Linked DNA regions of Schizosaccharomyces pombe. The protein of the gene in region 1 binds, or shares a complex with, the protein of each later gene. Each region holds a gene or a part of one and is shown in the gene's direction. Other genes may lie near its edges. The genes, in order: mrpl37, mrpl40, mrpl33 and mrpl38.

What was found.
Region 2: mrpl37 (region 1) and mrpl40 share a complex: the UniProt entries of both Schizosaccharomyces pombe proteins name them as parts of the mitochondrial large ribosomal subunit.
Region 3: mrpl37 (region 1) and mrpl33 share a complex: the UniProt entries of both Schizosaccharomyces pombe proteins name them as parts of the mitochondrial large ribosomal subunit.
Region 4: mrpl37 (region 1) and mrpl38 share a complex: the UniProt entries of both Schizosaccharomyces pombe proteins name them as parts of the mitochondrial large ribosomal subunit.

What each region holds. Positions count from the first base shown.
Region 1 is NC_003421.2:1,252,353-1,256,470, forward strand, and holds mrpl37 (mitochondrial 54S ribosomal protein mL54), read left to right. Parts: upstream 1-1,965; 5' UTR 1,966-2,192; coding exon 2,193-2,612; 3' UTR 2,613-2,874; downstream 2,875-4,118. Other genes in the region: cca2 (ATP/CTP tRNA nucleotidyltransferase), read left to right, coding at 2,928-4,118. UniProt on the Schizosaccharomyces pombe protein: Component of the mitochondrial ribosome (mitoribosome), a dedicated translation machinery responsible for the synthesis of mitochondrial genome-encoded proteins, including at least some of the essential transmembrane subunits of the mitochondrial respiratory chain.
Region 2 is NC_003424.3:2,671,286-2,675,438, forward strand, and holds mrpl40 (mitochondrial 54S ribosomal protein uL24m), read left to right. Parts: upstream 1-2,507; 5' UTR 2,508-2,694; coding exon 2,695-3,534; 3' UTR 3,535-3,653; downstream 3,654-4,153. Other genes in the region: Brix domain-containing protein Rpf1, read right to left, coding at 1-164; SBDS family ribosome maturation protein Sdo1, read right to left, coding at 886-1,498, 1,693-1,820; ESCRT III complex subunit Did4, read right to left, coding at 3,814-4,113. UniProt on the Schizosaccharomyces pombe protein: Component of the mitochondrial ribosome (mitoribosome), a dedicated translation machinery responsible for the synthesis of mitochondrial genome-encoded proteins, including at least some of the essential transmembrane subunits of the mitochondrial respiratory chain.
Region 3 is NC_003421.2:2,220,924-2,224,783, reverse strand, and holds mrpl33 (mitochondrial 54S ribosomal protein uL30m), read left to right. Parts: upstream 1-2,201; 5' UTR 2,202-2,212; coding exon 2,213-2,262; intron 2,263-2,317; coding exon 2,318-2,561; 3' UTR 2,562-2,580; downstream 2,581-3,860. Other genes in the region: tif6 (translation initiation factor-like ribosome biogenesis protein), read right to left, coding at 527-1,154, 1,470-1,541, 1,596-1,630; SPOM_SPCC1919.07 (uncharacterized protein), read right to left, coding at 2,581-3,201. UniProt on the Schizosaccharomyces pombe protein: Component of the mitochondrial ribosome (mitoribosome), a dedicated translation machinery responsible for the synthesis of mitochondrial genome-encoded proteins, including at least some of the essential transmembrane subunits of the mitochondrial respiratory chain.
Region 4 is NC_003423.3:3,549,471-3,553,184, forward strand, and holds mrpl38 (putative mitochondrial ribosomal protein subunit L38), read left to right. Parts: upstream 1-1,873; 5' UTR 1,874-1,877; coding exon 1,878-1,919; intron 1,920-1,962; coding exon 1,963-2,020; intron 2,021-2,083; coding exon 2,084-2,364; 3' UTR 2,365-2,421; downstream 2,422-3,714. Other genes in the region: RNA-binding protein Cwf29, read right to left, coding at 1-316, 407-411; sorting nexin Snx3, read right to left, coding at 550-634, 715-911, 967-1,032, 1,082-1,165; SPOM_SPBC887.08 (uncharacterized protein), read left to right, coding at 2,648-2,773, 2,832-3,080; leucine-rich repeat protein Sog2, read right to left, coding at 3,352-3,714. UniProt on the Schizosaccharomyces pombe protein: Component of the mitochondrial ribosome (mitoribosome), a dedicated translation machinery responsible for the synthesis of mitochondrial genome-encoded proteins, including at least some of the essential transmembrane subunits of the mitochondrial respiratory chain.

The sequences.
Region 1 (4,118 bases):
TAGCTCTGAACAAGTTCTTGTTCTTTGTGATAATTCCAACGTGTATTTAAAGCAGTATATAAAGGTCAAACACCATCAAATGAACAGTTTATCAAATCTCATGGAACCATTTATTAAACATTATACTTTTTGCTTAAATAAATATTCAAAGTGTTTTTTTTTTTTTTTTTTTTTTTTTTTTAATGCATATGGTAGGAATAGGCATTATTTATTAAATGGATTCGCAAATGGTTAATATTGTGCTAGGAGATATGTTGATTTCAATTGCAATATCTTTTACCTATATTTAAATGGCACTATGTAGAAAGCTGACAAGAGAATATTTTAACAAGCAATCCCGAATCATCAAAAATAAATTAAAATAATTTTAAAAAATAAAAAAAATAAATCGCAGAAGCACAAAGCATAATACTATTGATAAGTTCAATGTAATTTAATTTGGTTCATTACTATTTAAAACTAAATCCCCATCTTATAGTAATATAGAAATAAACAGAAAGTATATACAATTTCTCTACAGGATGAAAGAAAAAAAAACCCCCAGAAAATAAATGAGGGAAAAAAATAGGATATCAAATATTGATCGAGGAAATCACAAGCATTTCCTTCAGTGTAAGAAAAGCAAAATAGGGAAAATCGTAATTGTACATTGAAAGCATACATTTTTACAAAATTGTAAAATTTCTTTATTTAAATCGTTTCCAAAATGAACCGGAAATGTTATAAGCAAAAATATACTAAATAAATGAATTTAAAACTATTTCGGTACACTAAATAATCTCTTATAAATTTATTAAATTTAAATACATAATCTACTTAATACTAATCGTCTCAACGGAGGACAACGTGGCCGAGTGGTTTTAAGGCGTTCGCCTGCTATTCTGTAGCCCAGCGGATTCCCTTTGGGAGCGCAGGTTCGAATCCTGCCGTTGTCGGCATGATTTTTTTTATTTGTAAAATGAATATCGAAGAGCCTTAGAGAAATATGTTATAGGAATTTATCGAGGCAAATAATGAAATTCTAGTAAGAGAATAACCTGATGGTTAAAGCTTGTTTATTGATCTTCTTGCAGATTTTTTATTGTTTTCATGAGATGGATAATACTTTAAATGATTTATGTTCTATCTAAAGTAAAACTTGGCGAAATTTTAAGAAAACACCCATAAAGGTGTAACTATTAACTAAGAAGAGTTCGCAAGTCAGTGATTTATTTTTTTCAATTGTCCCGAGTGACTTAAGACACCGACTAGTACAATTTGTCAAATTTATTGTAAATCTATTTTTCTTTAACAAAAAGTGATTGCAAGCGCTTCTCGATCCTCAATGGATCAGTCGCTAACTGTGTGGAATAAGTACATTTCGCAAGTAAAAAAAATGGTAATTCTGACGTATCGAATGAAGGACATAACGTTAAACATAATTGAATACTAATTCTAAAATCTATATATGTTCTCTTTATTTAAACCGTACTACTAGATTGTTCCTCAATATCCCAAATAACACCTAATGGTTCTTTACCATTTACAACAATCAAGTGATTGTCGAAGAAACATTGCAAGTTGAGAAAAATGAATGAAGTAGAAATATTCTAATGTGCTAATGATTTATTGTAAAAATAAATCATATTATTTTATTTCTTTGACTTTCTTACATAGTCGAACACAGACAAATACAATTTTCGATTAACATTTCTAGAGTCTCACTTGATAGATTGTGCTTTACTTTATTTCATAAGTATTCCTATAGTACTCAAGCGTGCTTGGTATTATTATTGTAAACTTAATGACATTCTTGTTAGAACGACACCCCATTTGAACTTAGCAATAGTTTATAATTATGAAAAAAACAAAAACAAAAATTTTATTTTGATTCCCAAATTGTAAACAGACGCTTGAAACCCTTACATGTACCTGTGTCTGCTACCCATCTGTACATGAGTTGTATAGTAACGTCCAGGTTGTCCCATAACCAAACTCCTTGAACTTTGAAAGCGGCTCTTTATAGAGTCATTTTTTATTTCCTATAGTACTTGAAATAATATTATTCTCTAAAACTTTTCACTCAAAGAGCAGGACGTATTTGCTCCTTATATATGCGAAGGCGTTACTATTGACCTTTTTCATCGCCTTTGATCCACTTTTGGTTAAAGATTTTATCCTCCTTGCAAAGTTTTTTGTTTACTGTCTAAGCAATGCCATTTATCGAGTCAATGGCCCCTTTATCGCGCGCAATTACTCGCGGTATCTCTCAATTCTCATGCTACTCTAACACATTGGTTTTAAGAAGTTCCCGTAACTCTTCTTCATCATTAGTTAAACGAAGTTATGTATCCTCTCGTGTTTCACCCAAAAAGCCACAGCATAATTCGGATGCCACTTCTTCAGCTCAAAAAGTCGCTAATAAAACGCACACTAGTTCTGTCCTTCCAGGTACTATATTAAAGGGACTGTGTATAAAGGCGGGTGGCGTCGACCCTGTAGCTCGTGAAGATCATGAATATCCAGAATGGTTATGGTCTCTTCTGGATGAGCCAGCTCCCAATTCTAAGACTGCCCGAAGTCATGCTCGTAAAAGTGCCATTCGAGCGGCTAACTTTCTTACTAAAAAATAATTACCTTTTAGAATGTTTGAAACTCTTAATTTTCCATCTCCTCTCTATCCTTATGAGCATTTGATCCATTCTTTTTGTTTACTTTTTTTGAGGCATATGACATTCGCTACTTTACCATTTCCCAGAATCCAAAAATCATTTTAAAATAAAAATATATTAAATAACCTTATATCAGTGATATACATTTGTAGCATAAAAAAAATTACTACTACATGTCCTTCTTTAAGAGAAGCATATTCAAACCTCAACCTGCCAACCTTAGAGAAACCGGTATTGCCCAAACTGTGTATCGTTTATGGAATTTGGCTGACGAAAATGTATTCTAGAATTGTATTGAACGATGTTGAGAAAAAAGTTGTTAATCTTTTGAAAAAGACTGCTGATTTTATTGAATCTAAATCCAGCAGCAGTTCGTCATTGGAAGTTAGATTGGCAGGAGGATGGGTTCGCGATAAACTTCTTGGGCTTTCTAGTGACGATTTAGACGTTACGTTGAATAAAGTTACCGGTGTTGACTTTGCAAATTCAATATTTGAGTATGTTCACTCTCTCGACTCTGACTCAGTTATTCCATATAAAGACGCACTTGGCAAGCTAACTGTCAATCCCGATCAAAGCAAGCATTTAGAAACTGCTACCTTATCCCTATTTGACCTTGATATTGATTTTGTAGGACTTCGTGCAGAATCATATGATGATAAAAGTCGAATTCCTAGCGTTACCCCAGGAACTGTTGAAACAGATGCATTGAGAAGAGACTTCACGGTTAACACCCTATTCTTTAACATACGAACAGAAAAAATAGAGGACATTACAAAGCGAGGATATAAAGATTTGCAAACCAAAGTGTTGGTCACGCCCATTTCACCTCTCCAATCATTTTTGGAAGATCCCTTACGAATTTTGAGAGGCATTCGGTTTGCATCCAGATTTGAATTTACAATTGATCCGTCGGTCGTTTCCGCTATCCAAGATCCGAAAGTATGTAAAGCTTTTGAAAAAAAGGTTAGCAAGGAACGTGTAGGAGAGGAAATTGAGAAAATGTTGAAGGGTGCAAACGCGAAGCTAGCACTTCAACTGTTATATTCAACGAACACGTATCAGTTTACGTTCGATACTTTGCCAGCTGAAAAAGAATTTCAAATTCCAAAGGCATTGGAAGCTACCGAGTCTTTATTTCAGAGTCTTGCATTGACGTTTCCTAAACTTATGAAATTAAGTGAAGATGAGAAAATTGGGCTATGGCTATATGTTGCTCTAATTCCATGGTCTAGTCAAACTGTTATGGTTAAGAAAAAACAATTTTATATTCCTGCAATCATCGCAAAAGACAAGTTGAAGCTCAGAAGTACATATGTTAACCAGTTGAATCAGTGCTGCACATTCAATCCGATATTCGATGAATTAGTTAACGATACTTCCACTAAAAATTGCTCATCTATTGGCAGCTTAATACGACAATTGAATAAATCCTGGGAAGTCGTGTTTTTAACATCGGTCATATAT
Region 2 (4,153 bases), on another chromosome or scaffold:
ATAGTAGCGGGAATATTTTCTGAAAGTCGCAATCTCTTCTTTTCCGGGTCTTTTTCTTCTTCTTTAGCACGTTCTTTTCTTCTTTCAAGCTTGTCCTTATTTTTTTGATGAAGAGCCTTCATATACTGCTGTTGGCGGACAATTTTGTTTTTAATCTTCCCCATTTTAATAAGTTGCGTATAATCTCTCAAAATTTAAAATTTAAGAATGAAATAATTTAAATCCTTACAAAAAATTGCAACTAAAAAAAATTGAGATAAGAATGAGCAACTTAAGTACAAATAAAAGAGAGTTAAAAAAAAGTATACGATGGGTTTGAAGTCTCAAAAACTTATTGCACAATCCAATTCCATGTCGCAAAATACCGAATCTGAAGAACATGCTACGAATTTCGTCAAATTTGCTTAAAAGTATTAACGCAGTATTATATCACACTGCTGTTAAGCAAAATGTATACTTTAGTTACAATTACTGTTTGTAAATAGGTGATATTACAATCCGAAATCGTACACTATAGATATCCTCATCATTAAATTGTTGAACAACTGAAAGCATTGTGGTAAGGGTTCAACATTCTACAAATCACTCACGCTACTTTCATTTTCACATTTGAATGCGTGCTTTGAATGGAACTAGCAGAAATGAAAGGGACGATAGTCTTTTAATTTCATTTCTTTACTTTCTTTTTACTTTCTTCTGAACTGAATTGCTATATTGATAAATTAAATAATGTTCTGGATAACCAGAACGAATCAGAACGTGTCTTTTAATAGCAAAATTTTTCAAAACCAAAAGCCAATGAACAATGTAAGCAAAAAGGAGGAGGAAAACAGATTAGGGAATTCATATAGAGCGTATTTTCAGAAAGGTTATTTGTATACCTTTTTAAGTCCTAGCCTCGCTCATGTCGAGTACTTGAACCATACCTCGGTTTTTGGTCTCATTTCGGACAAGTTCATCTATCAACTTATAATTCCCTGGAATCACGAGAGCTATGCACTCATATTCATCATCAATGTTTTCTTCTTCAATTTCATCAGCTAAAGAGCGTAAACGCTCTCGTAAAGCTTTTCCCTGTTTGACATCCACCACTATTCTGATGCGCATACGCGCACGGACGATAGGAATTTCGTTTTTTTCTTGCAATTTCTTAATAGCTTCCAGAGCTTGGGACTTTGCAGTTTTACTGGTAGAGACAGAAAAGCCACAATCAGATAATGCTTTTTCAATTATAGATGCTGGATAAGGTCGTTTAGAATTAGGATCCATGCACATCGCAGTAACATGGGAGACAATATCGCGATAAGTTGAAGACATTTGATGATGTCTTTCCTTTTCACCTACTTGAAAATCTCCTTTTTGCAAAATTTCTAAAATAATTTTATCTATATCATCTGTACCAAAAGCCTTTTTCAAATCCTGTCGGCTAGCTACATGTCCTTTAGAAACATTGTTAAACACATTGTGGATTTGTAAAACTTCATCCAGATCTGTTTCACTAAACTTGGTTAGCTATGGTTTTGATCAAAAAAAATTGTACGAGTTATTGAGTTGTTGACACCAGTCGACAAGACACGTGAATTCAAAAAGATAGCTTGTTATAATTTTCTGCTGATCTTAAAGAATATTTATCTGTAGCAAAGGCTGACTCTCACTAATTACAGTAGCTTAATTTAATGAAATCATGCATACATTTTGTTTCTCCATTCTGTAACTTTATTTTTATAACAAGCAACTTCAAATCTTTTCCCTCCTTTCTTATATTTTACAACGGACACATTGGTTAGACGAATTTGTCCAACAGGTTGACTAATAACCATTTTGCTCAAGATGGGTACTTTTTTGGATTATTTTTTGTTATTCTCACCTTCTCTAATTATAGTGTTTTAATCCAACGCCTAAATCTGTTAAACAGGTTAACAATCCATACACTATATATCGGTATTTAGATTTATCTGAAAATTAAACAAAAATTTGATATTTGCGAGCCTGAAAGGCAAAAGGATGGTTCCAATCATTTTTCGGATGTTAACATAATCTTGGAAAACCTTATGGTTAAATATTTAATATAAGTGCAAGTTATTTGTCGGGTTTTCTAAACCAGTTTACAAATCACGAATGATATTAGGCTTTTAAAAATTATTACCTAAATTCAGCAAATACTAAAAAAAAAGTAGAAAACAATAGAAGTATCGACTAAGTTTGAGTTATCCGACAAAACTTCAATCTTACATCCTAGTATATTAACACAACCACTTGCGAAGCGTTTCTATACGATTTCGCTTAACATTTTCAATTTTAAACTTATAAACAAATAGATAGAATGACATTGTCTTAACGAGTACACATCATTTTAATGTTGGTTAACGATGTCGAAGCTGTAGAATATTGCGTGCAAAAGCAAAAGCAAATTTTAAATAATGAAACTTAACCACGTATCGCAAAGTTGCCTTTGTGTAACAATGATCCATTTCTTTACTTATTGACGAAGAGAGTACTCAAATAACAACTGCAAACTACCAGCAGGATACACATTACTGTTTCATAGCATTCTTATTTTTTCTCTTATATTTGGCCATATTTATCCTGTCTAGAGGTTTTACTTTCGTTCCAACATTACAGCGTAGTAAATTCCTCTGTACAAGTGATGTACCACCGTTAGTTATTTAAATATTATAAAACTTTTTGAGCAGAATGAGAGACTTGCGTAAATTAATTCCAAGGCTCCGAGGCCCTGGTACTAACGTCTTAAAAATGAAAAAGCCTTTACCGTTGCATATGCGAACCAAAATACGCGAACACCTCAATAAATCTGATCCAACTGTTAAAGACGATAAATCCGCTAAACCCGAGTTACCGTTTGGAAAGCCAGCTGACAGAGTCCCTTTCTGGCATATTTTTAAAGGGGATTATGTATATGTTCATCAAGGACCTCTGAAAGGAAAATGGGGCCGTGTTGTTGAGACAAACAAATACACAAACGGTATTACCATAGAGGGGGTTAATGTGAGATCCGTCAAAGTACCAATTTTTCTTTTGCGAAATAAGCCTGAAGATAACCAAGATCCAGTAATTGATATTGCTCACGAAGTACATTATGCAAATGTGCGTCTTCTTGCGCATGCAAAGACTGACGCCGGGGAACCAGTTCTTATTCCAGTTAAGCTTAAAAAGCATTCCTCAACTAATCTCCGGTCCATTATTCGGCCTAATATTGAAGGAGTACAAATTCATACTATTCATCTTCCTCGTCCCAAGACTGAAGATAAGCCTAAAGATCCCGAAGGTAAACTCGATACTAAGAATCCAGTAGTTAGTAAAGTTACTTGGTCTCCTAGCTTATCGGAGCCTCCTCTTCCTCCGTTTGCAATTGGCGATTTACGAGCCAATTGGTCTCGCCGTTTAGATCGTATATGGGGATATAAAAAGAACAATGATGATTTTACTGAAATTGCTAAAGATCTTGTCCGAGCAGAGACTGCTGCTGAAGATTTAATAAAAAAACCCATCTCTCCTAATACTTACAGTGATTAAAACAAAAACGATGTTTGGTCGTTGCAAGCATTTTTTTATAACATTACATAATGATTCACAATCTCTAGGTTATAAAGCTTAATAAACTTTTGTAAACTCTTCTAAAAAATTTTTCAAGAAACTTAAATATATTTAACTTAGTAGAGTAAGTGATAAGTGATTTCAATGAAAGTGAAGTATTTGAAGTTTACACGTTAACCTAGAAAAACTTTTACTAATCAATGTAGAAAATCTATACAAATCAAGATCTTTAAAGTCCATTAATCTCTTGTGCGAAAATTAACGCTTTGCCAGTTCATCCAATCTGGCTTGTAAATTGTCTTCAGTCTTTAACTCCGGTACCGTACCAATTTGGGTCGCAGCATCTGGCAATCCTTGAGACAAATCGACTCCAATTTCATCCAACACTTTATTGACAAGTTCATCAGCTTCCTCTTCGTCATCTTCTTCTAAAGCATCGTCCATATTTTCATCAATCATTTCTTGTCTCTGTTCCATAATTTCATTTTCACGCTCGAATTGCTGAGTGATACGAGCCATTGCCGGTATATTCATGCTTTTGTTCATCCCTGTCAATAACTTTGTAAAAGTTAGTTCTATATTTTTCGATATTAAGGTG
Region 3 (3,860 bases), 970 kb from region 1:
TTTCAGTCAAAAAATACCTACATCGAAATACTTTCCATAACTAGTTTGTCACCAAAGACTGAAAAGAAAGTATATTTATTAGATCATTTTTAATATAAAGGCTGCAAACTACTTAATAAAACACGTAAATTGAAGTACGAAGTCTCATGCAGCGTTAGCAAGAAGCTCTACTCTATAAGCGAGAATAGCTTAACAAATCCGAATGTGTTAAGAACAGACAAAAAGCAAAGCAATAAAAGCATTTTCAAAATCTATTTGACATAATAAAAATAAACACGATTACGGAAGTCCCTTAAGTGTTATAATGGTCTATAAAAAACTTGTATTGTAAATTTCTACAATAGGAAGCTTGGGTACCACAATGGATAGGACTATTAAACCGAAAGGCATATCAAAAATTTTATAACCAGATACATACGTATAACGTATCAACATTAAAACTTTAATAGGAAAATATCACGTAGGATGAATTATCCAAACTCATAAATCCTGATCAATAATTTTTTAGTTAGCTCACACCGACTGCTTATGTATAAGACTCAACAAGAGTGTCTCTGTTGCTTATAATAGCAGAAGGTTGAGCATCTTGAAGTTTAAATATAGATTCACAGACAGCCAATTCAGTAGCCGTAGTATCAAGTCCAGCAAACGCACACCAGTCGTTCACAACTAGACCAGCACCGATAACATCGGAACCACGGTTGATGGTACCGGCAACAAGAGGAACTTGAAGAAGTGATGACAATTCATCCTGTTCCTGAATGCTAGTACGAGGGTGAACCAAAGCACCTTGATTGCTCAATGCACAATACGAACCGGTTAAAACATTGCCTGCAACGGTTTGACGGAAAACTTCAACATCTAAGACATCAGCAATAATTTCCTCGGTTTCACGCTCAATATCAGGATGAACAAGGGCCACATAGTCGTTGCAAGCCACAATGTTTCCTAGAGCTGAAAGTCGTTCATCAACACGTTGGATTTTGACAGGATCTGGAAGAGAATTGCGGAGGTGCTGTAGTTCATTATCGGTGGTAGAAGAGGGAACTAACAGACCTTTTCTATTACCACATGTCAAACGACCAATGATTCTGGTTCCTCCAATTGTGGTATGAACAACGGGTACAACATCACCTAACTCTGCCTCGAACACGCTGTTATAAAAGTTAGTGAAAAGTTGATAAATGTAAAAAATGCCAAAAAAAATAATTTGTCGAGCTGCATCGAGTCAAGGAATAATAAAGGTAATGAACAGCAAACCGCCAGAGTTTAAGTAGTGGTTTGCATTTATGTAGCAAAGTCTCTTTTACTCAATTAAAGAGTAGTTAGGCTACATCATTCACATATGTGCTATTTATTTTTCTCATAATACGTTCGACTGGTTAAGGATTTTAAGAACCTTTAAAAAAATTTTGAATCGTTTACATTTAGAACATTAAATTTTGGCATCAAATAAACGTTAAGCTTACCTGTAGAAGTTTTCAGAGCCTCCAAGCGCTACAAGTGCGTATGAGTTTGTGAGATTAGAAAAGACACCAATCCTATAATTTGTTAATATCATGCGTCTATTAAGCAAAAAAGCTGAGTAAACTTACTCATTAGAATTCTCGAATTGAGCACGAAGTGCCATTTTGGTAAAGAAAAAGTTTTATCCCAGCCAAATTTCACATCTTAAAAATAATAATCCATTGAACATCGTTAATATGATATTAGCATTGTGAAGCAGACACGTAATACCAATTAACATAATTTTTTGTGATATATCGGTAATACTGCATTACACTAATGATTTACTAGGTTGCGTATCACTATATGTTACATGTTGGAATATTAGTAAAGATCCGTTTATTGACAGTAAACAGATAAGTAGTCGTCTATACTCATAGACACCATGTGATTACAACTACTAGAAAGATGATAATTATAGATGTTACTGTAAATCGCTCCTCTCCATTTTTTAACCATATCGGTGACTTACACTAATAGACTTCTTATAACAATAAATATAACATTGTAGTTAATATACTGCATTCCACTAAATGTGGATCGCAAAAAATTCATCGTAATTCAATGTATCGTTAAATAGATAGCAACGTAGTGAATAATAGTGAACAATAACGAGCTTGCGATATGAATTGTATTTTATCGGTTGAACTAAAAGAGTTTCAATATTTAGTGTTAAACGGACTCCACGAACTTCTAGTTTACCATAATGTCATTCTTTCGAGTTCGTTTAGAAAGGTCAGCCATCGGGCTCTCGAGGTACGTGTTTTGGAAACGAGAAAAACATGCTTGTAATTGCTAACCAATATTTTAGTAAGGTGCGCAGCGTTTTGCATTCTTTGAGGTTAACAAAAAGACACTCCGTAGTCTATTGCGATGTAAATCCAATCAATGCGGGAAGAATTTTTAAAGTAAAAGAACTCGTTAGTGTCAGTACTGTGAAACAAAAGTTAGCCGCTGGGCAAGAAAAGAAGTCTCTTGCTTCTAGTAGCGGATTTACAGTGATACATCGATACAATAACGGTTTAAAAGAATTGAATAACATGTTTGAAAGTTAAATTTTCATTCTAGTTATATTTATCGTAATAGTTCATCTAACCAACTTTGGTCTTTGTTTGGCTTTTCAGACATATAGTTCCTAGAGTCGTTTCTTGAAATATGCATGCTGGAATGATTAGAAGAAATGTAATTTTCCCCTTTATCTTCTGTAATGGAAGGCGGAGCAGACTGATCCATACTTTCAAGAAAAGAATCAATATCTTCTTCCGCTTCAGCATGGCTAATGTTTACCTTTGGCTTTTGTACATTATAACGCTTACGGAATTCTTGAATTGACTTTTCATGCTCAACGCTCTCCAACATGTCGGCTACTTCTTCACGTTGGATAGTCCGAACTTTGGACTTGGGTTTTTGGTTGCTAATTCCCAAACCAGTAAGGGGCCGTGCTTGTAGTTTTGAATACTCGAAATCTTCTTCTTCATCTTGAATTGTATCTCCATTCCCCACGGTCTTCAAACTTTCCAAACTTGGATATTCTTCCTCATTGTTATCTTCATCAAAGTATTCCCCTGCATTTTTAAATCTCCATTCGTTATTTCCCAAATTTTTTTTACGAGGTTTTACAGGTGCATCATGAATGTCATGCTTTTTTTTATACGCTAATGTCGCTTTTCTCTTCCATTTATCTTGTACTACCATATGGGACGTCGTGTCTGAAGAGGCAAGGAGGAACCTGTACCCTATAAGACAATAAGTTTTTTTACAATGTTGGTCAATTTTTTTCTTTTCTCGTAGTGGTTTATATTTTTAACGACTCGAGTATAATAAAATTTGAAGCAATAATAAAGAAGAATCCTTTTTTTTTTTTTTTAAGCCAAACTTGCTTAGCGCTTTTTAATAAAAATTCGCACTCGACTGAACACTAAAAAAAAACTTTTCAATGATTGTACATTACTTGAATGTATAATAGACAGGTTTCTGGGGAAGCTTCTTCAAGATAGTTTATCTACCAGAGTTCAGCAGACCTGGGTGATCGAAGGAACCTAGATCGTTTTTCGTAACCAAAAGTTTAGAATTTTTTTTATACAATTACTTCTCGTTAAATAATTCTTCCTAAAAAACCTACTATTCGATGGTAACATCAGTTGTTTCGGTTTTTTCATTTGCAGTATAAATTGTGATGTTAAAGGCTTACTTACAAATCATACTAGTTAAAATAGGAATTTTAAAAGTGCAAGTTTGTTAAAATATAATTATAAACTCAATTCGTAAGTTCGTCGAGCTTGCAACTAACAGTCTATAATACAGTTGATAAATTCCACTTGCCAGTCTTTACAAAAAAAAAAGGAAGAGAAGAA
Region 4 (3,714 bases), on another chromosome or scaffold:
AACGTGATCAACACGAACCAATCTGTCAAGTAACTTTACATTCGTCATATTGTCAACGGCAAGGACTGTCGAACGTTGATCCTCATATTTTAGAAAGGCGAAGCCTTTCGATTTTCCGGTTTCTTTGTCGCGCACTAAATTAATATCCACTGGCTCGCCAAACTCAGAAAACACACATAAAATATCATCTTCGTTCAAATCAAAATCTAAGTTGCCGATGTAAATATATGCACTATCACTATAATCTTGGTGCCAAGAACTGCTAAAAGGTTTATCCAACTCTTGCTCGTTTAAACGCTCAATTTGACGAATGGAGCTACTTTTGTTAATTTTAAAATTAAAAAACGAAAACAGCGAAAAGATGAATCGGATTTTTGCTATATTTTAGCCTCAATAGAAAACTTACTTCATAACAACCTAAGGTATTTTAAATGGTAATTAAACTTTGTAACAGATTGATTTCCAAATTTTTCTTTTAAAATAAAAAAAAAGATTGACAAAAATTAACAGTTGGAGGGCAAAATGGAGAAAAACAAGTTAGCGGCGGGTTTATGGCGTAGGCTTGAATTCCGGGCTTTGTAAAAAAGAAGATAAAACACGAGAATGGGTTTGAATAAGAGGATGTCCAGCAACTCTACATAATAATGTATTAGTTTTTGTGCAATTTAAAACGCTCTTTGGGGCAATAAGGCAAAATTAACATTCAATACTTACAGTCGTAAAAAATTTTCCAAACCTTGTCTACGTTCTTCGATAACATCATCTCTAAATCTTTGAGTGAATATCTTTCCTGGAAGTGGTGGAATTGAAACACGACCGGACTCTCTTTCAAGCATATCGTGAAATTTCTCGAATTCGCTGTAACGTCGACGAACGCTAGAATTATGTAGACGAAAATAGGGCATATTGGTCTACAAAAATGAGTTAATAATCTGCTATCAGAAGATGAATTTCAGTGGTACCTACCCGACAAACAATTTCATAAGTAGTAAACATGTTTCTTCCAATACCGTGAGTTTGTGGATTTATAACCTAAAATAACATCTATTAGAAATATTTCGAAATAATAAAGTAAACATACATCAATTTCAAGGATGTTTTCAGGAACATCATACATTTGTTGAGTAGTTTGCTGCCTGATTTCCGGTCTACTTAATTTATCCATTTATTTACCCTTATTACTCTTAAGAGCGATATCCAATATTATTTTACTGTTTAACAAGTAATAGTTGAAATTTTGAAGAAGTTTAAAAGTTTCGATACAAGGTGTAGTGTCTAGCTCAGATACGGGTACGGCTAATGAGATTCATAATCGGATCGCAAATTAGTAAGGCGTTTACTGTAAACATATCGCAGAGCATTTTTTCAAACTGCGTCGTCTAAAGATGAGAATGATAGTTCATTTGCTTCCAAAAAATAAAATGGATTCACTAACGTCCAAATCCTCCTCTCACTTTCAACAAAATTAACGAGTAATACAAAATCAAATATGTAGCATACAATCCATTATGATATTTTAATATGATAAGAGCAATTGCTAGTCAATATCACATTTTTGCTTTAATGACTATTCCACAACTCCATGCATGATGAAGAATTTGATTAAAACATGTGTAACAAGCAAAACATCAGAAGGTTAAAGCAAGATAACAGGTTATGACAAACAATTTGCTTGGAATAATTTCATATTTGAATGCATCTAATCAAATCGCTTTTTTTTTAATACAAACAGTTGTTTTTATTTATATATTTTGCGATGTGTTACATACTACGATATGCCAACTAACGTCAAATACCAAATTCTAATATTACGCATAGTGTAATTTATAGTGGAAGCGAGTACGTGAATGTATGGTCAAGTACTTGAATCTTTAGCAATGATCGGACTTAAAGGTATACTCAAAGTTATCGACAATTCCGTAAGTTTAAAATATTACTATTTGTACTAATAAGATGGAAAAGGGTGCTACCTTAGCTGAGTGCATTCGTGTAGTTCGCGCGGGAAAATTCGCTTCACTTGGTAAGTAGCACGAAGTGATCTTTTGTTTATATTCGACTAACATCACCTTTTTTTAAAAAACAGGTGATGAAGTGGTAGTAGTGGTAAAAAAGGCACGAAGCGGTTCATCAGTTACTGCTGCTAATAAAGTTAAACGCGGTGATATCCACCATGCTATCATTGTTCGGACGAAATCACCAGTTCGAAGACCCGATGGTCGTTATGTTCGTTTTGATGATAATGCCTGCGTCTTGGTTAATAAGGAGTGTGAGCCTCTGGGAACCCGTATCTTGTCAGTCGTTGCCAACGAGCTCAGAACAAAACATCATACTAAAATAGCATCTCTTGCTCCACGAACCATCTGAAAAGGGTATTGTAATGTTAATATTTCACTTAATTAAAATATATTTTTTAATTTTCTATTCTACGTCTAATTAAGGGACCTTGTCTCTTCAGCAAACACTTTTTACCTGATAGCCAATTAAGATTTTGCTTTTTTGGAGTTTTGTTACTCGTAAGCATTGTGGGGTTAAAAGGTTTTTACTACACACTTTTTTAGTAAAATACAGCTGTAGCAGGCTTTATTATATAGTCCATTATCTGTTAAATATATCTGATCGATCAAAAGAATTTAATGTTCTAGTAAGAATGGATTTGCTGGCGATTGATTTGGATTTTGATGTTAGTGAGTCAAAGCTTGAACGGAATAAGCGATTAAAACAGAAAGTAAGCATTGAAACTGATGGATGGACTCCAAGAGTTCAATGTTTTGGTGTATGTTACTCATTTTTTACTCCCAATTTATTGTCTATGATTTTAACAGATTATTCAGCATCTTAGTAAAAATGGCGTCGTCCTCGGTGAAGAAGCCTATATTTTAGAGCAATCAAAATTTGCAGCGGAAGAACAATATTATCTGGGAAACTATTCCTTAGCTAAAAAGTTTGCATTTCAAGCACTTGATGTTCCAACTGATAGTTCCAGCATTGAGTACCACAGACTGAGTTCAGGCGAAATCAATGAAATTGAAGACATCATCAGAAGATGCGAAATGAAACTTGAAAATAAGCAAAGCAATTAATTAGAAAAAATTTTTGTCTTGTCAAAGAGTACCTACCCAAAACTACACACTCTGTCTAATTTTTGTACATGATTTTCATGTGGAAACAGATTAATCACTACTTGTACCATCATCCTTTACAATTTGTCCTTGGTTTTGTTATTTGAATAAGAAATAAATTAATCAAATTCAATCGTGCATCATTTTTTGTATCATTAAATTTATAGTCTTTGTAGGCTTTTGAGTTATCGAGTTACCAATTATTCCTCATCAATCTTCATTAAAAAATTCTTTAGCGCTGTAAACCTTCCACGTTCCCATCCGCGTCAGTAAAGTAATCGATTTTATTAGTACTATAGGCTGACGCCGGAATTGCAGCTGGTGACATGATTAGAGGAGATGTAATAGATTGAGCAGCCGAACCCAGAGCCGCTGACAACGGTGTTGCAGGTACGCGGGCTATTGGGGACATCAAAGGAACAGGAGTGGCTAAAGATGACTCAGTGTAATGTCGAGCAGAGGAAGAAAGTAAGATAGTAAGATCTTTTGTAGATCTTGTTGCAGCTGAAAGACCAGCTAATACGCTTTTTTGGAATGTATATTCACTGGATAACGCTTTCGCTAAATTTGCGACTGCAATAATAGACTTGACAAA